7 linked regions of the Mus musculus genome follow. The protein of the gene in region 1 interacts with the protein of each later gene in a pairwise test. Links are inferred from orthologs where the notes say so. Each region holds a gene or a part of one and is shown in the gene's direction. Other genes may lie near its edges. The genes, in order: Creb3, Kcnk1, Itm2b, Apod, Ptpn9, Mfsd5 and Tspan2.

Region 1 (3,949 bases):
ATTTGTAACTTGGTTCTTAATTAACCTTTTCACTGTTTATTCTTAATACTGACCATGACACCGGCCTTTAATCCCTAAAACGGGCATCTAAGCCAATTCCTGTTGATCCTTAACCCGATCCTGTACTCTGACTTAATGCTGGTCATTGCAGAAAATAATGACCTCAGTTTAAATGTCACATATGCGAAACAGACTTGACTCGTGCAGCAAATGTTTAGAATGTAGTTCACCTTCTTAACTTCTAAAGGGATCCTTGCTTCCTAAACGCGACGGCACCTAACCCAAACTCACCCCAAGTTTTCCTAACCACTTACTCACTATCGGCTAATACCAAAGCCCATCCCCGCCCAGTGCCTCACTGCCACCCAGTGCCTCACTGCCACCCCATTTCTACCCGTCCCCAAACCTAGCCGAGACAGAGAACTGTCTACCCCCGCGAAAGGGCCTGCTTCTCGCAACAAGGCCAGCTTAATTCCAAATCCAAACCGAAACATACTGGACCCTGACCTCCCTAACCAGACACAGGATATGCAGGAGGATTGGGGGCCCCGCCCGCCGCTTCCCGGGCTGGCCCGATCCCGCAGCCCCACCTAGAAGCTCGGCCCAGCCCGTCCGGCCTACCTGCGCTGCCCGGCTCTGCGCCCCGCCCTGGGCCCGCTACCCGCTCCTTCTCCCGGTCGCTTTTGGGGCTCCGGCCTCGCCCTCCCTTCGACACACTCTCGGCCACTTCCGTCCTGGAAACGTCCCCCACCCGCCGGCGGCGCCCTGGGCCCGCGCTCTATGGTAGCGGAGACTGCAGGAAGCTGCTCTGGCCGTAGTTCTCGATGCTCGGGCGCCCGCGAAGCCTGGCCGCCCCTCCCCAGCAGGAAGCGAGCGTGCAGAGCTCTGGAGAGAACGCCCGAACTAAGCTGGAGTTCCCTTTTAAACGCTTAAGTTTTTTTTTTTAATAGCTCGAGGCGAAGGCGGACAAGGATCCTCAGAATCCCCGCCCTGGGGCGTGGGAAGCTTGAAAGGACGTCCCCATAATTTGCATAGCCCCCGGGACGTGGCGCAGCCCAGGAGCCACTTCCGAGTTGGAGAGAACTCCAAGTCCCAGGATTCCACGGGGCTATGTGCACCACTTCCGTTGTGTTGGAAGCTGAGGAATACAGAAGCTGAGAGACGGGTGCGGTTTAGAGTGACAGCTAGGCCCTTGTCCCGGAGTGACGGAGGTTAAGTCGAGCCGACTGGACAGACTGAGGGGTCGTGCCTGAGGTTCGGAGGTTGGATCTGCGCGGAGGGATTTCTATCCATAGATATCCCAAATGGATCCTGGTGGTCAGGATCTGCTAGCTTTGGATCCCGGTGATCAGGACCTGCTGGGCTTCCTGCTAGAGGAAAGCGGAGATTTGTGGGCTGCGACTGAGCCGGACGTGAAGGCTCCGCTGGACTTAGAGCTGTCACCTTCCGAGGTGGGTGGGTGGGTGTTCCCAGTGGGGGAAGCTAGGGATGTCCGCGAGACCCAAGGTACGGAAATAAATCAAGGCCTTTGAATTTGATAGAACTCCGTGCAAGAACTGAGCGACTGGGAGGTAGAGGATTTACTGAGCTCTCTGCTCAGTCCCTCAGTATCGCGGGATGTTCTCGGCTCTTCCAGCTCTTCCATTCTCCATGATCACAACTACTCCCTTCCACAGGAGCACGTCTCCATAGATCTAGGTGAGTGTGAAATGATAAGTTGTGGGGGAGGAGAGAGCTCACTGGGCTAGCTGGTTCTACTTTCCCTTTTGCAGATACTGAGAGCTTCGAAAAGGAGGGGTTCCACGTGACTCCACTGCCAGGGGAGGAAAGAGCAGCGGAACAGGTGCTGGACTTGATTTTTTTTTTCAGGATTACCTCACTTTGCAGCAGCCAAGATCCCCCATACTGCTCTGAGAGCTCCATGCAACTCTGCTCTCTTCACTATTTCCTCCATCCTTAGGAGATGTCTAGGCTGATACTGACCGAGGAAGAGAAGAAGCTCTTGGAGAAGGAGGGGCTCACTCTGCCCTCAACCCTTCCTCTCACTAAGGTAAGGCTCCTGTTGGTAGAGCAAAGGCTGGAGGGGGTTGGTAACCCAAGTAGGCAAGCTCAGTTTGTTTCATATCAATCACTTGCAAAAGGACAAACCAACTCCTACAAGTTCTCTCATCTCCAAACACACACCCACGTCAAAAGATAATGTTTTAAATGTAACTTTAGTACAGAGCCTTGAAAGTGAAGGGCCTTGATAGCTTCCGTTGTTATCTTGGGACCTCGAATCATACTCAGTGGTAGAAATGCTTGAGAGGCTGACTCAGTCTAACAACATCAACAATCGTCAAAGCTGGACATGATGGTGCACCCCTCTATAACCCTAGCACTCTGGAGGCAGGAGCAGGAAGGTCTTCACAAGTTCAAAGTCACTTCCCACGTGCTGGGATTACAAGAATACTGCATCTAGTTTTTGTGGCAAATTTTTTTAATGTCATTTGCCTTTTTAATATTGTCTTACTTCTGATATGTAGATATTTACTTATTTGGGGCAGGTGGATCAGCATTAACGGACAGACTTAGCTTCATGTTGAGTTCAGGCAAGCTTGGGCTATGTGAGAAACCATCCCCTATCCCTCTATCACTATTACAAGATGAATGAGCAATATATTGGGAGGAAAGGAAACGGAACTTGGAAATTATCAATAGTGGTTCTGTCCCTAGGATAGTAACTGTCTTGTCTTCCTTTACACTGGCCAGAGCATGCCATAATTCCCCTACCCACTGGGATTGGAGTACAGTACCTCATGAATGTTCATCAATGCTCACTGCTGAGCCACGCCCTCTGGCCCTTGTTGTTAAGGCAGGGTCTTGTAAACCCAGGCTGGGCTGGCCTCAAACTATGTAGTAGGGAAAGAATGCCTTTGAATTCCTGATTCTCCTGCTTCTAACTCCCTCGGACTAGATTACAAGTGTATGATGTCACTCTTGGCTAGTGTCCAAGTTTGACAGGCATTATCAGAGAATGTAAGAGTTAACTTTATTCAGTTTTAGTTTCTGAAAGAAAAAAAGTTGAAAGTACCTTAAGATAAGGATATATTCTATATCACTTTAGAGACTCTAGGAAAATCAAATGAATGGAAATTATAAGAAGATTGATGTTGCTTTAGGATAAGGGTAGATGTTGTTGTTGTTAGTTTTGAGACATGGTCTTATGTAGCTCAGTCTGTCCTCAAAAACTACCCTAGCCAAGGATGGTCTTGAAATCCTGACTTCCTTCTTCTGCCTCCCAAGTGCTGATACTACAGGCATGTACAACCACACCTAGCTTAAGTGGAATTTTTAAAATTAATTAGAGACTGGAAAGATGATTCCGTGGTTTAGAGTACTTTCTGCTTTTCCATGGGGCATGAGTTCAAGTCCCAGCTCCCACATGGCAGCTTACAATCCGAGGAGATCTGACACCCTCTTCTAGCCTATGTGGGCACTAGGCACACCCATTATACATATACGTTATACAGACATGCAGGCAAAACACCCAAACACATAAAAAATAATAAAAAGTCTGGCTTTCTAGTGTTGAATATCTGCTCCTTGGTGTTCACACAGAAGGTAAATGCCTACTGACAGAGAGGCTGTGGAGAGTATTTGATTGGGAAGAAGGTTAGCTGTCTTCCAACATACCTATGTAGTATATATAGGTATAACATACAGGCATATAATAACATACTGTGGGTGACCTTTCCCCCATCTTCTCTTAGGTGGAGGAACAAGTTCTGAAACGAGTGCGGAGGAAGATTCGTAACAAGAGAGCAGCTCAAGAAAGCCGCAAGAAGAAGAAGGTGTATGTCGTGGGGCTGGAGAGCAGGTAAGCAAGGATGGACACGGGGGAAGCCTGGAGGGTCTTGAAGGGAGGAGACACAATATTTTGAAATCCACGTGTCCTCACATCCATGTT
Region 2 (4,287 bases), on another chromosome or scaffold:
GTTCAGTAGGCAGATGATGGAATTTTCCAAGTATTTAGATTAATTCGGATTTACTTTAATGCTTTCTCTTACTGATATCATCTACCATAGATGAGGAGTATTTTTTTTTAATATAAGAAATTGAAGCTACCTCTCTCCTCTACTTCCCCACAAACAGCTGCTGGAGGCAGTTCTACTTCTACATGTTAGCCTGCTTTGCAGACACAGTTCTGTTACAGGGTACAGCATAAACGGTTCGCATATTTGAGATTCCAGACAGCTGTGCTTACGTCTGCATAGTCTTCAAATTCATCTTTAAAGATCAGATGTCATCTTGGCTGGGGAACGGTTCAGCAGTCCAGGTGCTAACCACGGTCCCGGCAACCGGAGTCCATTCCCGGAGTTCATTGGAGACATTGATAATAATGATAATGCTATGATGATGATGATGATGCTTCAACATTTTTTTTTTTAATTCGAGTCCTGAGTGTCTGACCACAAGTCTGGGTACCCAAGTACTTTACCACTACGTCATCTTTCCTGCTCCCATTCCCCTAGTTAGGAGCCTTTAGAATGTCCCTGACTCTTGACTCCATGTGCATGTAATGACAAAAATACACCTCTGTGTGTGGAGTGGTGGTTTGAATGAAAATGGCCCCCACAGGCTCATAGGGAGTGGCGCTATTAGGAGGTGTAGCCTTGTTGGAGGAAGTGTGTCGCAGGGGATTGAGCTTTGAGGTTTTAAATGCTCACGCTGACCCAGTTTTATTCTTTCTCTCTCTCTCTCTCTCTCTCTCTCTCTCTCTCCTGTTTGCCAATCCAGATGTAGAACACTCCGCTCTTTCTCCAGTATCATGTCTGCCTGTGTGCCACCATGTTCCCAGTCATGATAATTATAGACTAAACCTCTAAAACCGTAAACCAGACCCAGGTAAATATTTTCCTTTATGAGAACGGCTGTGGTCATGGCGTCTCTTCACAGCAATAAAAACCTAAGACAATAGGTATGATGTATGGCACGATATATAAGACAGGATACAGCTATGCTGAGTCTTATGTATGTGACTGTCATCCTTCTCTAGGAAGTGTCACAGAGTCAGGTCCTCCACCCCCACCCCTAGAAGCACACAGCTAGACTCTAGAAGCACACGGCTGCACATGTCTATGCAGAAATGTAGAACCCAACCTCATCCACCATCAGTTCCTCCGTGCCCTAGCGCACATTTCCATTTCTGTCTCCTGACCACGAAGTCCTTAAAGTTTGGGGTATTGTTTAGGCTAAAATCCAGAAGCTGTGTTTTCCTGTTCCAGGTGGAGGATGGGGTCAGGAGAGGATTCAAGTAGCTTTTTAGAAAGAGGTTCATTGTATTTTCAATAGTCTGGGCAGCAAATGGCTTAGCTGTCCAGTCAACAAGACAGAGGAAGACAGGATCTATCTGTACCCTTGGTATTTGGCTATAGTAGCTTTAATCAGGAGGAATGCCTGGGGGGACAAAAGTAGCTAGGACGGGGGTTACGGTGGCGCGCGCGCGCGCGCGCACACTCTCTCTCTCTCTCTCTCTCTCTCTCTCTCTCTCAGCTCAGGCCTGCTGACTGCACTGGGGAAGGGAAGAGGGAGCCAGGCAGCCTCCGGGTGGCCTGGCCAGGGTCTGGCGCCACCAAACCTGCACTTTCCGGTTTCGGAAGCCAGGTAGGGGGCGCGGGCAGCCAGCAGCTCCCGCCAAGTGGGTGAGAGCGCTCCGCCCGACCAACTCCCGCTACCTGAGCCGGCCACCACGTCACCGCCACATCATCTGGCCTCTTGTATTTGCACGAAACCAGGAAAGGGAGCGGCGGCGGGAGGCGCGGAGCGCGGGCGCCGGGAAGATGCTGCAGTCCCTGGCCGGCAGCTCGTGCGTGCGCCTGGTGGAGCGGCACCGTTCGGCCTGGTGCTTCGGCTTCCTGGTGCTGGGCTACCTGCTCTACCTGGTGTTCGGCGCCGTGGTCTTCTCGTCCGTGGAGCTGCCTTATGAGGACCTGCTGCGCCAGGAGCTGCGCAAGCTGAAGCGGCGCTTCCTGGAGGAGCACGAGTGCCTGTCGGAGCCGCAGCTGGAGCAGTTCCTGGGCCGCGTGCTGGAGGCCAGCAATTATGGAGTGTCGGTGCTCAGCAACGCCTCGGGAAATTGGAATTGGGACTTCACCTCGGCGCTCTTCTTCGCCAGCACCGTGCTCTCCACCACAGGTAGGGCCGCTGCTGCCACCTTACCCCAAACCCCGGCGTCCCCAGGCCTCCGCTGGGCGCATCCTGCGGTGGCTCGCAGTGGCGGCAGCCAGTGAGGTGACCCCGGAGCACGATATGGGTACTGCAGCTGTTACTCTTTGGGAATGGTCTCAAACACTCTGGACCTTGAGGCTGCAGGGGTCTCATTCACTTCTCCGTCCTTGTGAGGAGCAGGTAGGAGCTGATGGGAGGGTAGGTCCCCGACATTTCTGTCCTGGCAACTGAGCAGCAAGACCAGGAGATGAGGAGAGTATCCTGTGCTTAAGAGCGTTCGCCTCCTTCTGGCCCCATCCCAGAGACCCCAGGCCGAGAAACCTAGCAATGACCCTTGGATGGGTCACCTTCATGACTGTGACTCCCTTCCCTACTGTAGACCTATTACAGCTTCTTTGGATCTGTTTTGGGGACAGTGGTGACATCACTCTGCTCTCTGCAGGTGACCTCTAAGCAGGCAGGCCTATGGGGGTTTCAGAGTAGGAGGAAGGGTGGGAGAAGGGAAGGGAGTCACTTGACCTGGGCCCCACATGGTGGGGCTTCCTGAATCAGCGGTTACTTCAACTTTAGGTGCGTTGAGCTTCTCTTCTACTTTGAGGCTTCAACGTCTTCAAGAGGCTTAGAAATCCAGCTGAACATACATGCCCAGGGGCATAGCAGTTAGACTAGATGGAGAGAGGCCAGGTTTCGTCAGTGGTGGCTAGCCATGCGTGCAGGCTAGGAAGGACATAAACGGTGCACGGACAGCCAGAGGGACTCTCAAAGGGCCTCAGTACCGTGCCTTCTTCTTATGCATGAGATCCAATTTTTGAAATGGCCCCTTTTGGCAGGCACAAGGTCACACAGTGCCCAGGGACACTCTGGAATCCGAGCCTTGTGAGTTCTTGCCAGGAACAGTGTGTTATGCCCCTGCCCCACCTTTGCAAGTGACTCAACTGCACCTGGGTTACTCCAGCCGTTCCTTCTCCCTCCTCTCTGCCTCTCAGGCTGACCCTTCTCAACTTCCTTTGGGCTGCGGCCGGGTAAATTATTTTATTAATTACCCACTATTGTAAACACCCAACCTCCAGCCAGATCAGGTAAATTTATTGTTTGGAAATCTGGGGTGAGTTCCTGAACTTGTAATCGACACAGAAAGAGTTCTAGGCTGTGTTGCGGTATTTTTTAAAAAAAAAAAAACTGTGTTAAATGGATGCCGAAACAAGACAAACCTGTTGGCTCACTTTCCAAAGAAAAGTCTCCTCCCCCCCCTGCTGCTCACAGTCCCGGCTTTATCTCAACATCACCCAGGCCAGTCAGGTCTTTTTGGATCCTATTTGTGTCAGAGTGTAAATCCCTCCTCCACCATAGACATGAATGTTTACATAAAGTTCACAACTGGCTCACAACGTTGGCTGAGCAGTTTGAGAATGAAGACTGCCCTTACCCTGCGGGCCTGGCAGACAGGGCAGGGATAGGAAGAGCCAGGAGAGAAAGCATGCTTTTCCTAGGTGGCGTTTGTGGGCAGTGCTGAAGTTCTTGTATAATCCTGGTATCCTATGCATCAAAAGCTAGTTCAGATCCCATTTCTTCTGGGGAATCTTTGTTTAATGTGAGCTCAGCCCCTAATGTTAGGAATCACCACAACTCCTGAAATATCCTCGAGAGGGGAGTGGGGTGTCTGATGTATGAGGGGAGGAGTGGGGTGTCGTGTTGGTATTCCTATTGCATTGTCCTTCTGAGGAAGAAAGTCTGTACTGTGGTATTGGAACAAGGGTTTATTTAAGAAAGGAGAGCAAGGGGCACTTAGGGATAAGCCAGACAAAGGAGGAGACTCTCCGTGTATAAAACCAGCTGATCGGTGAGACGGTGGGTGTAGTGAACAGAGTGCTGTGAGTCAAAGCCCCTCCTCTCTCAGTTTTGAGCTGATGCCATCATCGGACACATTTGATAGCACCTCTGGTTTCCAAAATGGTTTTGTGGCAGAGATGCAGATGGTGCTAAGATTGGAGCTGGTGGGTTTCACCACTTAAGAAACTGTTCACTGCAAGAGAAGACCTCAGATGGCCTGCATC
Region 3 (3,282 bases), on another chromosome or scaffold:
AATAACTATTAACCAGCTACTTCATTCCAGTGCCCCTGAGTTGGGCCTGGCTGTCACCATCCGTATCGCTAGGCACGGTGACCCATGCCAAGCGTCATTCCTGGGAGGCTGAGGAGAAACAATCGGCTAAGTCTGGGAACTGAAGACCAGCTTGAGCGACAAAGCGAGATTCCAATTCCAAAACCAAGACTACATTTATAAAAGCAGCCAGTTAAATATCCATAAATCCTGTTTTAAAAGCACACCGAAGAGTTTTGTCTGCCTTTCGCTCAGTGCACACTGAGAAAGCTCCATGTCACATCTTTTCTCCCACAGGCCGGGACCTACCTGCCTCAGTCCTACCTTATCCATGAGCACATGGTGATCACCGACCGCATCGAGAACGTGGACAACCTGGGCTTCTTCATCTACCGACTGTGTCACGACAAGGAGACCTACAAACTGCAGCGCCGGGAAACAATTAGAGGTAAGGAGAGTCAGAGAATTCCCATGACGCTTGGGTGACAATGTAAAGGGACCCTGTGTCATGCTTGGTTAGTTTTTCCAAGATTTAGAATCATGGAAATCCCAAACCCTCTCTCTTCAGATAGAAACCATCAGTCAGCAGGAAATGCCATTGCTTTGGGACGCACACCCACCCCTCAGTTTGCATGTAGAAGAGTCAGGTTTGACTTTTCATCCTCACTGTGGCTGGGCCACAGGAGAGAGGAGGTCTTTCAGCCTCACGCTTGGACTCTTAGGGAATCTGAGTTCTCACAGGTCCCGTCACCTGTGGATCGTGCTGAGGCTAGTCACAGCCAGGTGACTTAGGAAGACCTGTAGGTGAGGAGTCTGGAGCCCTGACATGACCTCGGCAGCTCTGCTGTCACTAAATCTTGTTTTCCCCCTGAGCAGTAAGAATAGCAGCATGTGCCCACTATAAATGCAACGCAGAAGTGTGTGTGACCTTACACATCGTCCAGTGCCATCCGTCGGTGACGCCACAGCCTGGCTTGTGTGGGATTGTGTCACCCAGCAGAAGTGCTTCTTTTCTGGTCTTTGCCAATACTTGTAGTGACATTGTTCTCACCTCAGGCTGCTGAGTCATCTGAAACCTACCACTTGATTTCTTACATTTAAGTCACGATCTTGCCTCATAATTTTCTAAAACCAATTTGATAGAACGAAGTTTGTCTCTCCCGGTGTGCAGTTCTGCAAGCACACACGGGCATGTGACTCCACCGTATGTAACTAGAATACCTCCCAAACCTTGGAGCTCATGCATCTGTGTCTTAGGGTTTCTGTGGCTGCAACAAAACACCATGGCCAAAAAAAAGCAAGTTGGAGAGGAAAGGGTTTATTCAGCTTATACTTCCACATTGCTGTTCATCACCAAAGGAGGTCAGGACAGGAACTCAAACAAAGCAGGAACCTGGAGGCAGGAGCAGGTGCAGGGACCATGAAGGAGTGCTGTTTACTGTCCCCATGGCTTGCTCAGCCTGCTTTCTTATAGAACCCAGGACCACCAGCCCAGGGATGGCACCACCCACAATAGGCTGGGCCCTCCCACACCAATCACTAATTAAGAAGATGCTCTACAGGTGAATCTTATGAAGGCATTTTCTGAATTAAGGTTCCTTCCTTGCAGATGACTCTAGTTTGTGTATCAAGTTGACTAGGCAGCACATCTGTCTGTAAGCCGTTTGTAAAGCACTGTTACCAGTTGCTAGGATATATGGAAAGGCCCAGTGGAGCACAAATTTCAAATTATGGGATGGATATAGAGTAGTGGCATGCTTCTCTATGTCTAAAGAGTAACTGTGAGTATTTGTTACTAAACAACTTAAAACAAAACCAAAACCAGCCCCCTTTCCTTTCCCAACAGGTATTCAGAAGCGGGAAGCCAGTAACTGTTTCACCATTCGGCATTTTGAGAACAAATTTGCTGTGGAGACTTTAATTTGTTCTTGAGAAGTCAAGAAAAAACGTGGGGAGGAATTCAATGCCACAGCATACCCTGCCCCTTTGTATTTTGTGCAGTGATTGTTTTTTAAAATCTTCTTTTCATGTAAGTAGCAAACAGGGCTTCACTGTCTCTTCATCTCAATAACTCAATTAAAAACCATTATCTTAAAAAAAGAAAACAAAACCTTTCTTTTTTCTAAGTGTGGTGTCTTTGATGTTTGAATTAGCAAATGTGCAGGTTCCTAGATAAGATTCGCTTCTCCTTAGAGCTTACCTACTAGGAAGAATCTAAATTGCTTGGAAATCACTAATCTGGATTTTTGTGTTAATTCTGCACTTCCATGAGGGAAAGATGCCTAAAGAATAGTCATTCGCATATGTTAAAGGGACCACAGTGACTTGCTTGTAGATGCTAGCCCTGCTACCTAGTCTGTTAGCATTTGAAGTCACCTTCTCATACTACTTTAATTAAAATGTGCCGTATCTTCAATGTTGCTTTAACTACTTTAGAGGATTTCAGCCTTGATGTTTTAATATCCTAGGCCTCTGCTGTAATAAGATTTTAGACAAATGTTTGGAATTTAAGAAGCAACTCATGTTACTAATTTGTATAGCCCATATCTGTGGAATGGAATATAAATATCACAAAGCCATGTGATGAGACTGTGCGTTGTTTTTCCCATAGGATAAAACCAAAGAAGTAATTTGGTTCTTCATACTTTAAGGTAATCCACATACATAAAAAATGAAACTATTTTATAAAGTCTAGTTCTCTACATGCAGTTATAAAAATCAGCTTTTTAAAAAAATAAAATAAGCCATTAATTACTAAATCAGATTTCTTGTGGATGCTGTTTCAGTGACACCGAGGGCAAACTTGACCAACGCTGCTTGACAGGAAGTGGGCCTTGTCATTCAGTGGATGGTTAGCATTGAAGCTAAGATGTGGATCTAAGTGGTGGTTCTCAGTCTGTTCTGGTTTTTCTTCAGACTCATCTCACTGTGCTGTTGTAACTGGTAGTCTCTAGGGACCAGCCTCTCCAGCAGGGAGATAGACATGTCCCACAGAACCTGGCAAGCTAGAGATGGGATTTTTGTTGCTGTTTCAGTTTTTGAAACTGGGTCTCAGTCTGGAAACTAGGCTGACTTGGAAATCAGGCCAGTCTCAAACTCGTGATGATTCTCTGCCTCAGCTTCCAGGGTGTTAAGATCACTATCATAGCAACCACACCTGAGGTTGCTTCTTAGCTGAGAGAATTCAGAATCCACTGCCTGGAAAACACCTGAGAGTAGGTCTGGAGCAATGGCTCAGAAGTCACGGGTGCTTATTGCTGGTCT
Region 4 (3,971 bases), on another chromosome or scaffold:
TCTTGCCTTGGTTCACAGCCCTGTGCCCTTCTCAGACACTAAAGGTGAGAGGCCTCAAGAGCTTCACTCCTTAACATCCAAGATTCAGTCCCCGGATGTGAACAGTAATGACCCTTAGACACGCCTCGCCTGGCTGTATCAACACAGAAACCACTAAGTGCCTCATCTCTGGGGTCTTTGGTGGTCTGAACGGCGTGTAGGACCCAGTGGGTTTGTCCAGTCCTCTGAGCTCTTTCTTCTTCTACTGTTCACCCCCAACATCTACAGTAAGATTTGTCCCTAGCACCATTTGGCTGAAAATTATTATAAAATTGTAGATATGCTGGGAAGGAAGGCCCTTAATGGAGCCTGCAGCCGCCCTATCAGCTCTGAACGGTAGAACCAGAGGCTGATCTGTGGCAGCCTCCATAGCTCTGAGGCAGCCTCCAAAGCTCCATCTACGGGCATCCCTGAGGCTGAAGCTCTGAGGATGAGTTTAAATAGCAGCCAAGCTCTATAGTTTACACTGGGATGCACAGCACGCCTCTTCAGCTCATTCATTTGGCAGTCCACACTGCAGGGGAACTATTAAAAACTATTGTCTACCCATTGGGTTTCCAAGTCTGTAGTCATCTGGGAGGTCTGTGGTATGCCCTAATGTGACTGAGCCAAAAGTCCCCATGGCAAATGTATACCCCATTTTCCAGCTCCAAGCCGTGCAAGAGAGATGGGGATGTTGCAAAGGGTGTAAAGAGAAGAGCTGCAGAAGATGCTCGGATGCAATAGATTTTGACTCCACATGGTAGAGAACTGCTATGTCCCTTTCTAGTGAAGACCACAACGTCTGTCTTCACAATGGGGAAACTGAAGCTCACTGAAGCAGGGGCCCGCCCTGCATCTCATAATTCTGATCCTCACATTCCTGGCCAGGACTACATGGGGTGCAGTGTTCCTGTTCCACCTCGGGGAAATGAAACTGTTGGTTTTTCATTTACACAAAAATGAAAAAAAATAAATACCAGATGTTTGGAAGCATGGTACAGCCCTTCTTGCTGGAACTTACAAGAGCATTCTGAGAGGAAAAAAAAAAAAATTAAGTGGAAAATCCACAAAGTGAAAAAAAATAAAAGATGTTTTGAACAAAAATGCAACTTCGTCTTTCTCTCTCGCTCTCGCTCTCTCTCTCTCATGCACAAACAATATCTCATTGTTTCTTCCTCAGGGAGCAGCTGTGAAGGAAACTAAGTGAGGGGACAGACACAGCATCCCATCTTTGTGCCCCACACAGAGCTCAGCTTTGAGGCCAGTTTCCCCCAAGCTGTGGTGGGTGTGGCATGCCTGACTATCAAAGGGCAAGGGCCTGATGGGAGCCTATAAAGTGACTTGGGAGAAGCCACACACCTCACTTGGAGGATTCTGGGTGGAAACTTCAGTCATCTGATCTGAGAGGTACGTTCATAGTTGGAGCTTGCACTTGGGGTAACCGATGGGTAAAGCAGAGACCACCCTGATTCCCACTGTCTTCATTTCAGTTAGAAACTGACAGTGAGCACCAACTGAAGGCTTTTACAGGCTCCATCTCATTTTCCTCAGACTTCTAAGGTAAGTGTTATTGGAACCCGTTTTCAGGTGATTAGGTGGAGGGGGTGGCTAAGCCTATGCTTGCCCTGATGGCTGCTTCTGCTCCACACCCCTCCCCCCTATCAAAAGGAGACCATGAGAACATTGCCTGTGTGGCAAGACAGCACCAGATGAGTTTTCTAGTGTGACTCAACTGCACCTGGCAGTAAGATCAACCAAAAACTGGAATTATTTGTGTGATTAGAGTACTGAACAGCTGGACACAAAACGGTTTTGTTTAGCATACGTGTTTGGCTTAGCCTAGTGGTGTAATCCTTTAACCCTGGCACTGGAGAAGCAGAGATCCCCACTGTAGGACAGCCTGAACTAGATAGCAGGCTTGAGGACAGAGGACCATGTAGAAAAAAAGAAAGAAATTAAAAGGATATGGTTCCTGTTCATTCAAAGGCTACATGTATTTGTTTGCTTTTAAAATCTATTCACCCATGCAAACATTTTGCTTTGCCATGGGACATCTGCTTAATATTCTTGAGCTTAGGGACTGTAGCTAAAGTGACACACGTGCTCTTGGAGACCTTAACAGAGAACAGGGTCAATTTCAGCACAGGTGGCTTCCAGATGTGAGCTCCGATGCAGTGCACACAATAGGTACTCAGACCAGCACTTCCCAAGGAGAAGCCCAGTGTGCTTGACCCTCAGTGTGCCTGCAATTCAGGTAGTGCCTGGTCCAGGATGCACCAGTTTTGGAAGAATTACCTTTAAGTTATTTGGTAGTTAGTTAAAATTATAGTTAAGCTTATTTTTTGAAAAGTAAATTCACCTCGATGATCTTCCTATGATATTAGAAGATAGGAAATGATATGTCCTAAAGCACCTATCTTTTTCTCAGAGTTGTACATATACATCAATAGCATGTTCTGTCAGTGAGTGTTAAGTGAATCCAATTGGACAGAACATGGAAAACATGCTCCCCTCTGAAGGACTTTCAGCTATAGGAAGAAAACTCAAAGCATCCAGACGGTGTCTCTGGAAGCCATGCAGGCAAGGGGAGTTAGCCTTGTTCTGAATCCTCCCACAGAGCCCAAGGGTGTGCTTCAGCTCACATGAGAACATCTTGTAATGAGACGTTTGTCGGAGTTAGACATGGGCTGACTGGTTGTCGCTGGTGCATGGTGAGACAGAGCTCACCAGGTCTCACAGGCAGGCATTTTCTGAAAGGCACCAAGATGGATGCAGGTGGGAACATGGCAGAGAGGCTCTGGGTGGACAGCTGGCCCTGTCATAGTCCAGTTCCCTTCCAGGCCTCAGTTTCTCCATCTGCACACCTGGCAGGAGCTTGAGGGAGAGCTGAATAGATGACCTTTATGGTCCTGCCCATTTCTGAAATGCAGTAGAATGCATATACTCTATGCCACCCACCCTTTAAAGTTCAGTGTGTGGGAAAGGCTATTGGCTTAGGCCTGTTGGGTAGAGCTACAGAGATTCCAAGAGCCCTTGAAAATGGGTGCAAAGTTTTTATGAGTTTAGGCGAAGCTTCTACAAACACTCCACCTTCCAAAATGTCAAAAGACAGGTGTTGTTTATATGATGATGGAAGGAAGGAGGCCTCTAGGACTAAAGATGGTGGTCCCACCACAGATTTGCTCCAGAGAACTTCAGCAGCCACCCCCTCCCCAACCCGCCCCAGCTGGCAGCTCTCGCTCCTTACATAACTGTTCTTGTTGAAAACCAGGCAACAAAACCTTCAGGAAGAAAAGGCTATTGATTATTAAAGTTATTTGGAGGTTCAGAGACTCATAATAAAGTGGTTATAATTGTTCCTGTTATGACACATCCTTTGAAATGCTCAGATCTGAGAACACTTTGCTTGCATTGACTCAGTCATCACAGGCAGAAAGGCAGCGAGCTGGAAATAGCTCATGTGCGGTGAGAGGCAAGGAGGCACAAAAGGGGAACAGAGGGAAGGCAAGTCAGGGAGAAAGGCAGAGAGGAGCCCAAGGTCTCCATCCATAGCCTGAACTGACTGACCGCCATCTCACTCCCCTGTCCACTCCCCTCCCCAGGGTTGTGGCCACCAGAGGACTTGTGTATGGAAATAAAGTTGGACCTACACATCAGCTGACCGCTCTTCTCCAGTTAAATGCACATCCTCTATGCAAAGCACCCTCAGCAAACGGGGAAAACATTTGGGAAATGCAATCCTGATTCTGCTTTTCAAAATAGCAATGCTAATGTTTAGCTGGGCAAGGTAGCATGTGTCTTTAATTCCCAGCACACGGGAGGCAGAGACAGGAAGATCGCTGTGAGTTCAAGACCACTTCAGTCTACAAAGCATGTTGTCTAGCCAGGACTAATGGTGAGACAAAATAAACAAACAAACAAAAATCTAATATTTACTGAGCTCGGTGTCA
Region 5 (3,500 bases), on another chromosome or scaffold:
AAGAAAAGTTTCAAAATAGTTAGAACAGAATAGCAATGCAGAGATCTTTTAGGTACTCAGAATATACATGCATAATATCTCAATTTAAATAATTCTAAAATGAAAAAAAATAGATATTTTGGCTGAAGTCGGGTCCTAGCAGAGTTCTCTAATCCCACCTCCTAGGAGGGGTTTCTCATTACTCCTTCATGCATGCCAATGCTGTGTCCTCTCTCTGAACTGGCTGTACTTTTTATCCTAAGCAGTAAAGACTAAGACTATATAAATGTAACCTTTATGATAGTTTATATAAGTGGCACTATTAGGAGGTGCAGCCTTGTTGGAGTAGGGGTGTCACTGTAGGCGTGGGCTTTAAGACTCTTGTCCTAGCTGCCTGGAAGCTGGTCTTCTTCTAGCAGTTTTCAGATGAAGACGCAGAACTCTCAGCTCTACCTGTACTCTTCCTGTCTGGACGCTGCCATGCTTCCACCTTGATGATCATGGACTGAATCTCTTAACCTGTAAACTAGCCCCAAATAAATGTTCTCCCTGTAAGAGTTGCCTTGGTCATGGTGTCTATTCACAGCAGTAAAACCTAAGACAATGTTTTTAAATTAAAATTTAAAATTACTTTTATTTATTTATTTGTCGGTGTGCATACATACAATTCCATGGCACGTGGGGTTCAGAGGACAGTTTGCAGGGTCCGCCATATGGGACCTGGCAATTGAGCTAGAGGCAAGTGCCTTTTCCTGTTGAGTCGTCTTTCTAGCTCCCCTTCTTCCTCCTACTTTTTTTTAGATGGAATTTCATATAGACCAGACTGGCCTAAAACTTGATATGTAAAAGAGTCTCATTTGGGGAAAAAAATAATAATTTTTGCCTGCTTGTTCCTGTTATGTTTCTAAAATATATTCTCTTTTTACTAACTGTCCTCATTTTTTTTTATTTAAACAGGCTACCAAGCAGTTTCTTGAAGAGATCAACAAGTGGACAGTACAGTATAATGTTTCTCCACTCTCCTGGAATGTGGCTGTCAAGTTCCTCATGGCCAGAAAGTTTGATGTGCTCCGTGCTGTAGAGTTGTTCCACTGCTACAGAGTGAGTGGCTCAGGGCCAGCTAAGTATTTCTATTTTTTTCCTGCTTTACGTTGTACATGGTGATTTTCTACTTCTCTCTTATTCTGTTAAAGTGGGTCAATGTCCACCAATCCTATGAGAGCTGAGGTTGGGCTCCTGGAGACACTTGCTTAATGTGCACAAAGCTTGCTTGCAGACCAGCCTGCTACCTGTGAGAACTGAGGCGAAGAATGTTCCTTAATGTCATCCTGTGGCCACTCCTGGGGTTTTCCTCCTTGCTCTCTTCCCTGCCTCCTGGATAACCTGTTTGGTATATTTTATAGCTGTACTTTAAGGCCTCATGAAGTTGTAGAAAGCTGCCATTCTGATGAACTTTGAGCTAAAGAGCTATTCAAGAAAAGATTGGTGCTAGTGTCAGCTAGGTCCCATTCTTGGCAGTGTCTTTTTGGTATTTGTTTTGTTTTGTTTTGTTTTGTTTTGTTTTGTTGAGACAGGTGTCTTTGTGTAGCTAGCCTCTGCCTTGTGAGTGCTGGGATTAAAGATGTGAGCCACCATTGCCCAGCTACAATTTTTTTTTTAATTAAAAAAAATTTTTTTTAAGAATATTTATTTTATGTGAGTATACTTGCTGTCTTCACACCAGAAGAGGGTGTCAGATCCCATTACAGATGGTTGTGAGCCACCATGTGGTTGCTGGGAATTGAACTCAGGACCTCTAGAAGAACGGTCATTGCTCTTAACCACAGAGCCACCTCTCCAGCCCTTGTTTTGTTTTTTTGAGACAGGGTTCTCCATGTAGCCTTGACTGACTGTCCCAGAACTTGCTCTGTAGACCACGCTGCCTCTGCCTCACAAGTGCTAAAATTAAGGGCATAATCTACCATAGCTGGCTAAGATTTTTTTTTTAAGGAAGTTTAAGACTGATTCTGTGTTATGTCTGCTTTCTGGGATTGTAGCATCTTTGATTGAAATGCTGTATGTTATGTTACTTTGTGGTTAGAAATTTCTTCTGAAGAGATACCATCTATCCTTAAAAAGAAAAAGAAATCCTAGGAAAACAAACAAGCACTGGGATTAGCTCACACTTATCGTACGGCTCATCCAGTACTCACTTATTTATTCCATAGATATTAATGGAATACATACTATGTTAACCATGCCGCAGTTGTTACTTAGGAGAGAGAGTAAACAATAAAAAAAAAAAAGGATACTAGCCTTAAATCTGAAGGATGAGTAGGGATCAAGCACTGGTGAAGTATGGCTAAAGAAGATAATATGTGGGCTGGAGAGATGGCTCAGCTATTAAAGGCTAGGTTTATAACCAAAAGATAGAAGAAAACAATAGTTCAGATCCTCAATGGTAGAAAGTAAAATTTAGCTAAGCCAGAATGTTGAGTGGGAGTCAAGGCATGGCAAGAGATGGAGAGCACAGATAAATGAGGCCAGATCATTAAGGCCTGAGAAATCCATTAATGATATAAGCAATGTGATAAATTTTTCCATATTTGCATTCCAGAAAGATTTTGACAATATATTTTTGGATAGTGTATCTCACTGATTACCTTGGAGCCAAAAAGATCAGTTTAAAGACTGTTGTACTTAACAAGGAGAGAGAATGGCAGTATTATTAAACATGTAATGTCAGGGGAGATGGAGAAAAGTAGACAAATTTAGAGTTCAAATGAGTAGGAGCTGCTTAAGCTGGTGTGTGAGGAAAATGAGTGAGGCATCTGAGTTGGGACTTGTATGTCAAGATCAGTGCTGGTAACATTAATTAATTTAGGAGACATTGAAGTGGGGTGGGTTCATGTAGAAAGAAGGTCATGGGTTTAATTTGTCCATGTCTTTGGGATACCCAAATAGACAGTTCCTGTAAGCAACTGGAACCTGAGTGCTGGTACAGAAAAGAAATCTGCACTGGGAATCGGTATTTCTGAATAGCCAAACTCGAGCTGACTCTTGGAGGCATCAGAACAGATGGTTGGTCCTGAGAAGGTGGCTGTAGACAGGAATTATGGTAACGGTTAGCTGCCCTGGAATGCTAAGGCATGCTACAAAGGAATTCACAGTTCAGTTAGTTGATTTCTAATGTCCCATCCCTGAGATTTGATGGCTACATAAAATTGTTCTGGATATGTCATATTTTCATATTAATTCATGTCTTCATTGTTTCCTTTTTAGGAAACAAGAAGAAAGGAAGGCATTGTGAAGCTGAAACCTCATGAGGAGCCTCTCCGTTCTGAGATCCTCAGTGGGAAGTTTACTATCTTGGTAAGTCTGTGGAACCCATCTTGTGCTTTGTTACATCCTTTTGTGGCTGTTGCCTTATTTGGATTTTTGTGCCTAGGTTCCTTATCAATACATTTTGCTAAAATTGTTCTAATAATAATTGAGTTATTACTAATTAAAAGTATTAATAATAGTTGAATTATTGAGTTATG
Region 6 (4,098 bases), on another chromosome or scaffold:
ACCTCTCCAGCCCTGCTTTTTTTTTTTTTTTTAATTTATTAAAGATTTACTTTATTTAAAAGTTTATTTTATGTGCATGAGTGTGTGCCTAAGTGACTATACTCTCACTAGTTTCATGCAGGTCTCAGAAGTCAGAAGAGGTCAGTCAGCTCCCCTGGTGGAGCTGGAGCTACAAGCAATTGTGAAAACTACTCTGCATATTACTCTTCAAAAGCAGTAACAAGTGATCTTCCACCCCTCTGCCTCTCCTCTGCAAGAACAGCAAGTGCTCTTAACCTGTTAATCATGGAGCATTTTCGCTAGGATTTATTTATTTATTTATTTATTTATTTATTTATTTATTTATTTATTTATTTGCTTTCCAAGCGCAAGGACTACATGAGCCACCACACCATGAAAGAAAGGGAAGTCCTGGCCAGGCGGTGGCAGCGGCGCATGCTTTTAATCCCAGCACTTGGGAGGCAGAGGCAGGTGGATTTCTGAGTTTGAGGCCAGCCTGGTCTACAAAGTGAGTTCCAGGACAGCCAGGGCTATACAGAAATACCCTGTCTTGAACCCCCCCCCCCCAAAAAAAAAGGAAGAAAGAAAGAAAGAGGTCCTCTCTAATAATAACATGACTTCTGGCGGTAAAGAAGGTAACTATCTTGGGGGGGAACTCTGCAGGAAGCAGTGTGCAAAGGCCCAGGTGGGAGCCGGTGTAGACAGGAGGCCGCGTGGTAGCAGATAAAGTCATGGACATAGCAAAAAGTCCCGGACAGATGCATTTGCATGTCTTTTGAAAGATGTTGGATTCTATCCTTAGTGAAAAGGGAAGCCATTGCAGGGGTCTCCAGGACATAATATTGAATACTGAAACTTAACATTCCAAGAAAAAGCAGATCCTAGGTAGCAGGAGGTGGGAGTCCAGCTCCAGGGCTTAAGTTTTTGTCACTGCTTCCGCAGCCGGACTCCGGCTTTACACCACACCGCCTCCCTCAGGTGTCTGGACAATACTGACTGCTGGCCGGGAGGTCAGGGGAGGTCCAAACCCTAGGGCAGCTCAATTTAGGGCAGCGGAGTTCATTAGCACGTGGTATCCGCTGGCTCTGAGGGACTGCCGGCACCTTTCCTTCTCCTCCTGGAGGAAAACAGAAAATACACTTTCATTCCGGACGACCCCGCGGATATTGGCCAGCTGGAGGACCCTATGGTACCCGCCTGCTCAGGCGCCCAAGAGAACAGCGCACCGCTCCAGCATCCCGGGCCCCATAGGCTCTTCCGCTCCTGGGCGGGGCGCCACGAGGGGGAGTGGCTTCCTGCCGCGCCCCGTCACGTGACGGGGCTATCATGGCGGCGGCCACGAGCCAGCCCGGCTCCCGGAAGCAGGCTGTGAGGGGCGGGCGCGCTGCTGGAACCCGAGCGGAGCCGGAGCCAGTGCGGGGAGGGCGGCCCGGCGGCCTGGAGCCGGACGTGTCCGGAGCGTCCCGGCAGACCGGGGCAGCAGGTGAGATGGGGGCCGGGCGAGGTGCGAGCGGATGAGGGGACGCTCGGCTGAGGCTAGGGGGCGCAAGGAGGGTCAGCCGTGACCCATAGCCGGGGAACCTGCGGTGCGCGCGCGTGACCGCGAAGCATTGGAGAGGCCGGCCCGGGCGGAAGGGATGCTCGGGAATAGATGTGGAGACACTGAGCTCCAAAACTGGCTTATCAGCGAGGATGGGAGGTACAAGAAGCCTGCAGAACCTATCATGGAGATGGGCAGTAGCCCCTTTTGAACTTGAGGGACCGAGATTACTGAAAGGAGTCCCCTTTGCTGTACCAGGCAAGGGTGGAGCGAGTGCTCTGGCCTCTCCCCACTGTCACCCTCCCCCGCCCCACTGAGTCCTAGGAGACAGCCACTCCTCCCACCCACCCAACTGGTCCCTCCAGTCTCAGCTCTGGGGGAGAGAAATTGACAGTGCAGTTGGGTGGAGTTGCCCTCTGCTTAGACACCTAACTCCTCGACTGTGCTACCTGGATTATGGATGTGACTGTGGCCATCGTTCTCTCCCCAGGTCGTCCGGGGGCCCATCATGCTGGTGACTGCCTATTTGTCTTTTGTGGGCCTCCTGGCCTCCTGCCTGGGTCTGGAGCTGTCAAGATGCAGAGCCAGGCCCCCTGGAAGAGCTTGCAGCAACCCCTCCTTCCTTCAGTTTCAACTAGACTTCTATCAAGTCTACTTTCTGGCCCTGGCAGCGGACTGGCTCCAAGCTCCCTACCTGTATAAACTCTATCAGCATTACCACTTCCTGGAGGGTCAGATTGCTATCCTCTACGTCTGTGGCCTTGCCTCCACGGTCCTCTTTGGCCTAGTGGCCTCCTCCCTTGTGGACTGGCTGGGTCGTAAGAAGTCTTGTGTCCTCTTCTCCCTCACTTACTCTCTATGTTGCATAACCAAGCTCTCTCAGGACTACTTCGTGCTGCTGGTGGGCCGAGCACTCGGTGGGCTGTCCACAGCTCTCCTCTTCTCAGCCTTTGAGGCCTGGTACATCCACGAGCACGTGGAGAGGCATGACTTCCCCGCCGAGTGGATCCCAGCCACCTTTGCCCGAGCCGCCTTCTGGAACCACGTGCTGGCTGTGGCGGCTGGTGTGGCAGCGGAGGCCGTGGCTAGTTGGATAGGGCTGGGGCCGGTCGCACCCTTTGTGGCTGCCATCCCTCTTCTGGCTCTGACTGGGGCCTTGGCTCTACGAAACTGGGGAGAGAATTATGACCGTCAGCGTGCCTTCTCCAAGACCTGTGCTGGAGGCCTGCGCTGCCTGCTGTCTGACCGCCGGGTGTTGCTGTTGGGTGTCATACAAGCGCTGTTTGAGAGTGTCATCTTTATCTTTGTCTTCCTCTGGACACCTGTGCTAGACCCACACGGAGCCCCACTGGGCATTGTGTTCTCCAGCTTCATGGCTGCCAGCCTTCTGGGTTCTTCGCTGTACCGCATCGCTACCTCCAAGAGGTACCACCTTCAGCCCATGCACCTGCTTTCCCTTGCTGTCCTCATTGTCGTCTTCTCTCTCTTCATGTTGACTTTCTCCACCAGCCCAGGCCAAGAAAATCCTGTGGAGTCCTTCATTGCCTTTTTACTTATTGAGTTGGCCTGCGGGCTCTACTTTCCCAGTATGAGCTTCCTGCGAAGGAAAGTGATCCCCGAGACAGAGCAGGCCGGGGTTCTCAATTGGTTCCGAGTGCCCCTGCATTTGCTGGCCTGTCTAGGGCTCCTTGTCCTCCACGACAGCGATCGGAAAACAGGCACCAGGAATATGTTTAGCATCTGCTCTGCCGTCATGGTGACGACTCTGCTGGCAGTGGCAGGACTCTTCACCGTGGTGAGACACGACGCTGAGTTGCGGGTGCCCTCACCCACCGGGGAGCCCTACGCCCCTGAACTTTGATCCTCCAGGACAAGGGGTCTGAGATGGGCTCTGGAACACACCCACCTACCCATGACTTGCTTTGTGACTCTGTCCTGCAGCCCCTCTTGCCAGTGCTCTGTATTGGGAAGGACATGGGGGTGACAGACTGGAAAGGTGCCAAAAGCTGACAGTGTACTCCCTTCTCCTTGCTGTGTAAAAATAAACACTTCTAATGGATGTGACTCACTTGTCCTCTCCTGTACCCACCTCAGTTGCTGGTGAGGGGGCAACTGGAGATTTTTGAGGTACAGGTGGGGTTCTGATGTCTTCAAGTCAAATGTCTCCAGCTAAACTGAGGGCTGTGAAATGCCTGTCAACAGAACTGGGTGGAAAGATTCAGAGGCTCCTAAGTCCTTACTCTTGGCTAGGACAGGTACCCTCTCCAGTTTGCAAGCAAAATCCTCAGTTCACATGCAGGGGAAAGATGGACTCTTGAAGTTGGGCTTAGAGTCAGGACACTCATTACACATGTTGAGATCTGATCTCTGGTCCTCATGATTATGCAGTAAGTGCTTTTAGCCACTGAGCCTTCTCTCTACCTCAAAAAGGGAAAATGATCTTAAAGCATGTATCCAGTGCCCAATATACTCAGCCCTTGAACAAAGATTCCAGTGTTCTGGGCTGCTTTGGTGACTACCCCATGACGGTAAACAAAAGCCTTTCCTGTAGGAATAAG
Region 7 (4,168 bases), on another chromosome or scaffold:
ATCTCATGTGCCTCACTGATCTCACTGTACATATATTAACTCCTTAATCTTCACAACTCTTTTGAAGCAGGTTGTACAATCTCCATACTGAGATGGGAAAGAGAGGCCCCAAGATAATGGGGTAATGTGTCACATTAGTCAAGTGCCTGCCCTCTGTGATTTGTTCTGGTGAGCTCCTGACTCCCCTCACCTTGGCCATCTCTCTGACTCCTGCTCCCAGGCTAGGTTGTACTTCCTCTGCTTCCTCCCCTGACCCCCTGCTCTCTCTACTGGCACCTTTTTGTTTGTTTGGTTTTGGTTTTTTGAGACAGGGTTTCTCTGTATAGCCCTGGCTATCCTGGAACTCACTCTGTAGACCAGGCTGGCCTCAAACTCAGAAATCTGCCTGCCTCTGCCTCCCAAGAGCTGGGATTAAAGGCGTGAACAACCACTGCCCAGCTACTGACACCTATTTTACAAATTAGGATCAGGTCCAGTCTTCTTGAAAAGCCTTCCTTAGTCAAGGCAGAAGCAGTCTCTTGCCCAGCTCCTAGCCCACCCACCTCACCTTGTTCCAAAAATTTGCTTACAGATCTGTGCCCTCCAGTAAAGATGTGATAGCAAGCCTGGCATTCTTCTGGTGTCCCCAGGGCTTGCTACTATGCCTGGCCTATAATTGGCACTTAGAGTGTTGCTAAATTAATGCACAAGCTCCCTGATTTTACACTTTCCTGTCTCCCCCGTGCCGTCTGACACCACATATTGTAGACACTTAGTCAACTGAAGTGAATGCCCGATTCTTCACCAGTCGCCTAGCTTAATAAAAACAAAGCAAAACAGAACTCGCTCCCTTTCCCTGATCTACACATCTCAGTCTAGACCCTAAGAATCTGGACTTCTTTCAAGGCCCCCGATCTATCAAACCTAGCAGGATGTGAGTGAGAGGTCTGACTCCCTTTCCCTGATCTGGTGGGCTGGACTGGGCAGGGTGGGAAGCAGTGTCAGGGCCCAGGGCCTCCGCCTGGCGCGCCTACTCCCAGTTCTTGCCTATTAAGGTAACAGTCCTCTAGGAACGCAGCGGCAGGAGGGAGGGTCCCCAGCAGCGGCCTCCGCCCGCGGCCTGGGCGCTTGCAGGACTCTGCTTAACTGCAGCCCTGGACACTCTGCCTGGCGCCTCACCACAGAGTCTCTACCGGCTTCACCGATCCTATTAGCTTTACCATCTGAAGTCACCTCCCTAGGTTTCCATAGACACGCAGGATAACTTCAACCATCATCGAGGGCCTCAAGGGAGTCTGGGCACCCGGCACTGATTAAATGGACCCCGCGTTCCGGGTGGGCGCACATATGCTCGGATAGCTACAGGAGCCCAAGCCCACCAGCGTGGACGAAGGTGGTGCTACCTCCAAGGGCCGGAGCGGGTGCGTGGGACCGGGATCTCCACCCCAGGGCGCCCCAGCCACAGCCAGCTGGCCGCTCGCGACCAAATCCCCGCCCGCAGACCACGCCCACAGGTCACGCCCCTCCCAACCCGCCCCGCCCCTCCACCGGCGCCCGCCGCTCCCGGGGCTCGGCGCGGGCCTGGGGAATCGGGAGCCCGCCGCCGGGGTCGCAGCATGGGGCGTTTTCGCGGGGGCCTGCGGTGCATCAAGTATCTGCTGCTCGGCTTCAACCTGCTGTTCTGGGTGAGACCCGAACCGGCGGGCCGGTTAGGGGGCCAGGGTCCCCGGGGAGGTGACCGCAATAGAGTTGGGCCATAGGAGAGGGCAGGATGTTCAGAGGCGCTAAGCAGACAAAGAGGGAGGGGACATATGGAGGGGGATAGGACATAGAGAAGCTTGAGCTACCAGAGGTGATGAGAAGAGGAGACACGGTGCGATGCTCCCCCGAAAGAAGCCATCATCTTCGGCGGCATCGCCCGGCGGGTGGCGCCAGGTGCGGGGATCTAGCGGGCCCCAATATTCCGAGGGCTGGGGGCCTGGCGGCCCGTGCTCCCTGCATCCTGCTGTGTACACACACCCACTTCTCGCGCTGCCTTCTCTGGGGAACCCGGCGGCCGGGCCAAGGCTCTGGGAGGGAAATCCCTACCGTAGGGCTGCCTGGGGTGGCGCCCCAACCAAGAGTGTGCGGACACGCCGCCTGGCTCTGGTGGTTTGTTGGGAAAATAACGGACAGTAGAGAAAATTGAAAGAGTGGGGAAGATCGTCCTTTTCTTGGGCATTGGCGGGGGGGGGGGTCTTCTGGGTGGGCAGTGGTGGGTGCTCTTTTACGAGGGGTTGGAAAATGGAGGGATTTTGGAAGAGCAGCAACATCCCCCTAGGGTCCCTGCGTACAACCAGTACTCTTGAAATGATCTCATTCAACTTTGCAGGGTGGTGTAGACCTGGCAGCATTCCCTGGGTAGAGATGCATAGAGACAGCCAGAGAGAGTGCCATGGCCCCAGTCTACTGTGTTAGCAGGGCATAGTTAGAGGTGTACCATCCCTGGAATACTCTCTCCCGAGCCCTGGAAAACGGTCAGAGGCCCATTCTGCACAGTCCCTATTGGCCTTCCAGTAACAGAATGCCAGCCAGTGTAGCTGCTCAGATAGACCCTGAGGGAAGACACGAGTCTCGCTTCAGGGGATGTGGGTAACTGCAGGAGCAGAGATGCTTTGGGATGCTTTGAAACCACTGGACTGGCCGCGATGGTTGTCCCATCTGCTCTGAGGAGGCTGGATGGACGATAAGTAATAAATTATTGAACGATGGGCCTCACTTGTGACTACCAACCCATCAGCCCTGAAGCCTGGGTGACTCCAGCAACTCTAAGCTCTTCAGAGACTGCGTGGCCATGACCAACACTGGCTAGCAATGGACAGTCTGGAGGCAGTACCTGGGGACATCCCCTGTATTTTAAAAATACATATAGACTTTGTACAACTTGGCTTTTACACCCATCACACTCCAGGAAGAAGACTTTCTGAGCGCCCTTGTGCTGTATTGTTTGTTTGTTTGTTTGTTTGTTTGTTTGTTTATAAGTCTGGCTTAATTTCGAAGGCTGTTAATTATAGGTGCCATGTTGCAGTGACACCCGTTACTCTCACTGCTTACAACATACTTTGTGTGAGCCAGGGAGGGAAGTCTCTCAGGCTGGGTTTAGTGCTTATTTTGTGCCAGCTTCTCCAGACTTATCAAACCTTTGCAGTGGGTTAGGGACAGTGCGCATGTGCAAGCAGGGCATCCCCATCTTCATAGACGAAGACGTGGGGGATCAGATAGGTCCCACAGCTGTTGAGTGGCAGAGACAGGACTCAAAGGCTGCCTCCTCCATCTTCATCCTGTGGGAGGTTCAGTCACCCAGCTGTCCTCAGAATGTGGCTCCTGGGTCAACAGCATCAGGGCTCCCTGGGGAATTTTCAGAAACATATATTTTCACTCAGCCCGGCTCGCTGAATCAGACAGTGTTGGGGAGGAGCCCAGCAAGCTATTCTAGAAGGCATCCAGGTAATCTGAACCCACGGGCATGTTTCAGAATCACCATCAAACAACTACTAGATAGATGCTGTTCCCAAAGCTGCTACTACAGCTAAGAGAACAGCCCACAGAGAACAACAAAAACAAAGTAAGGCAGGGTGACCAAGTGACAAGCTTCACACCCGGGTCACAAGCGCAGGGATGAAGTAGCACTCCAGTGAAGTCTGAGTGCCTGTCACTGAGATTGGAGATGGCCTTTTCTATATGTGATCTAAGTACAGAGTTCAGAAAAGCAATCCCAGTACCAGCGAGGACCCTAAACAACTTCATCTGAGAGATATCGGAGCTCAACCTGGGAGAACGGAGGTGGGCAGAGGGAAGCCACCAGATGAGGAGCAGAGCAAAGGATTGTGAGCCATCCGAGAGGCAAAGCCAGGGGGGGTCTGAGGGCAGAGATCCAAAGCATGGTGTGCTTAGATGAGGGGGCTTGCCAGAGTCAGTGTGCTCTCCCTCCATGCCAGAGTCAGTGTGCTCTCCCTCCATGCCAGAGCCAGCGTGCTTTCCCTCCAGGATTGCCTTCCCATCTGTTCAATTAGATGGACAGAGTTGTGCTGAGGACGTGTGTGATGTATCCTAAGCCAGCCTTATATAGTAGGGGCTTGAAGTTATTTGTTATTCTTGTTATTAACTGTCTGGCATACAGGAAGTGTTCAGTAACTAGTATCTGTCTTTC

Evidence for each region.
Region 2: the proteins of Creb3 (region 1) and Kcnk1 interact in a two-hybrid assay, tested with the Homo sapiens proteins (2 studies listed by BioGRID and IntAct). The two-hybrid records come from large-scale screens. The link is inferred for Mus musculus from reciprocal best matches to the Homo sapiens genes CREB3 and KCNK1.
Region 3: the proteins of Creb3 (region 1) and Itm2b interact in a two-hybrid assay, tested with the Homo sapiens proteins (2 studies listed by BioGRID and IntAct). The two-hybrid records come from large-scale screens. The link is inferred for Mus musculus from reciprocal best matches to the Homo sapiens genes CREB3 and ITM2B.
Region 4: the proteins of Creb3 (region 1) and Apod interact in binary tests that used the Homo sapiens proteins (3 or more experiments, as listed by UniProt). The two-hybrid records come from large-scale screens. The link is inferred for Mus musculus from reciprocal best matches to the Homo sapiens genes CREB3 and APOD.
Region 5: the proteins of Creb3 (region 1) and Ptpn9 interact in a two-hybrid assay, tested with the Homo sapiens proteins (2 studies listed by BioGRID and IntAct). The two-hybrid records come from large-scale screens. The link is inferred for Mus musculus from reciprocal best matches to the Homo sapiens genes CREB3 and PTPN9.
Region 6: the proteins of Creb3 (region 1) and Mfsd5 interact in a two-hybrid assay, tested with the Homo sapiens proteins (2 studies listed by BioGRID and IntAct). The two-hybrid records come from large-scale screens. The link is inferred for Mus musculus from reciprocal best matches to the Homo sapiens genes CREB3 and SLC61A1.
Region 7: the proteins of Creb3 (region 1) and Tspan2 interact in a two-hybrid assay, tested with the Homo sapiens proteins (2 studies listed by BioGRID and IntAct). The two-hybrid records come from large-scale screens. The link is inferred for Mus musculus from reciprocal best matches to the Homo sapiens genes CREB3 and TSPAN2.

The regions. Positions count from the first base shown.
Region 1 is NC_000070.6:43,561,509-43,565,457, forward strand, and holds the start of Creb3 (cyclic AMP-responsive element-binding protein 3), read left to right. Parts: upstream 1-1,149; 5' UTR 1,150-1,304; coding exon 1,305-1,451; intron 1,452-1,541; coding exon 1,542-1,698; intron 1,699-1,772; coding exon 1,773-1,843; intron 1,844-1,960; coding exon 1,961-2,050; intron 2,051-3,752; coding exon 3,753-3,859; intron 3,860-3,949. UniProt on the Homo sapiens protein: Endoplasmic reticulum (ER)-bound sequence-specific transcription factor that directly binds DNA and activates transcription. Plays a role in the unfolded protein response (UPR), promoting cell survival versus ER stress-induced apoptotic cell death.
Region 2 is NC_000074.6:125,993,615-125,997,901, forward strand, and holds the start of Kcnk1 (potassium channel subfamily K member 1), read left to right. Parts: upstream 1-1,487; 5' UTR 1,488-1,845; coding exon 1,846-2,200; intron 2,201-4,287. UniProt on the Homo sapiens protein: Ion channel that contributes to passive transmembrane potassium transport and to the regulation of the resting membrane potential in brain astrocytes, but also in kidney and in other tissues.
Region 3 is NC_000080.6:73,361,726-73,365,007, reverse strand, and holds the end of Itm2b (integral membrane protein 2B precursor), read left to right. Parts: intron 1-315; coding exon 316-466; intron 467-1,864; coding exon 1,865-1,950; 3' UTR 1,951-2,782; downstream 2,783-3,282. UniProt on the Homo sapiens protein: Plays a regulatory role in the processing of the amyloid-beta A4 precursor protein (APP) and acts as an inhibitor of the amyloid-beta peptide aggregation and fibrils deposition. Plays a role in the induction of neurite outgrowth.
Region 4 is NC_000082.6:31,312,009-31,315,979, reverse strand, and holds the start of Apod (apolipoprotein D precursor), read left to right. Parts: upstream 1-1,171; 5' UTR 1,172-1,428; intron 1,429-1,511; 5' UTR 1,512-1,581; intron 1,582-3,971. UniProt on the Homo sapiens protein: APOD occurs in the macromolecular complex with lecithin-cholesterol acyltransferase. It is probably involved in the transport and binding of bilin. Appears to be able to transport a variety of ligands in a number of different contexts.
Region 5 is NC_000075.6:57,018,968-57,022,467, forward strand, and holds part of Ptpn9 (tyrosine-protein phosphatase non-receptor type 9), read left to right. Parts: intron 1-936; coding exon 937-1,080; intron 1,081-3,240; coding exon 3,241-3,330; intron 3,331-3,500. UniProt on the Homo sapiens protein: Protein-tyrosine phosphatase that could participate in the transfer of hydrophobic ligands or in functions of the Golgi apparatus.
Region 6 is NC_000081.6:102,278,147-102,282,244, forward strand, and holds Mfsd5 (molybdate-anion transporter precursor), read left to right. Parts: upstream 1-1,309; 5' UTR 1,310-1,483; intron 1,484-2,030; 5' UTR 2,031-2,048; coding exon 2,049-3,401; 3' UTR 3,402-3,598; downstream 3,599-4,098. UniProt on the Homo sapiens protein: Mediates high-affinity intracellular uptake of the rare oligo-element molybdenum.
Region 7 is NC_000069.6:102,733,402-102,737,569, forward strand, and holds the start of Tspan2 (tetraspanin-2), read left to right. Parts: upstream 1-1,368; 5' UTR 1,369-1,595; coding exon 1,596-1,664; intron 1,665-1,813; exon of another isoform or gene 1,814-1,857; coding exon of another isoform or gene 1,858-1,914; exon of another isoform or gene 1,915-2,016; intron 2,017-4,168. UniProt on the Homo sapiens protein: May play a role in signalling in oligodendrocytes in the early stages of their terminal differentiation into myelin-forming glia and may also function in stabilizing the mature sheath.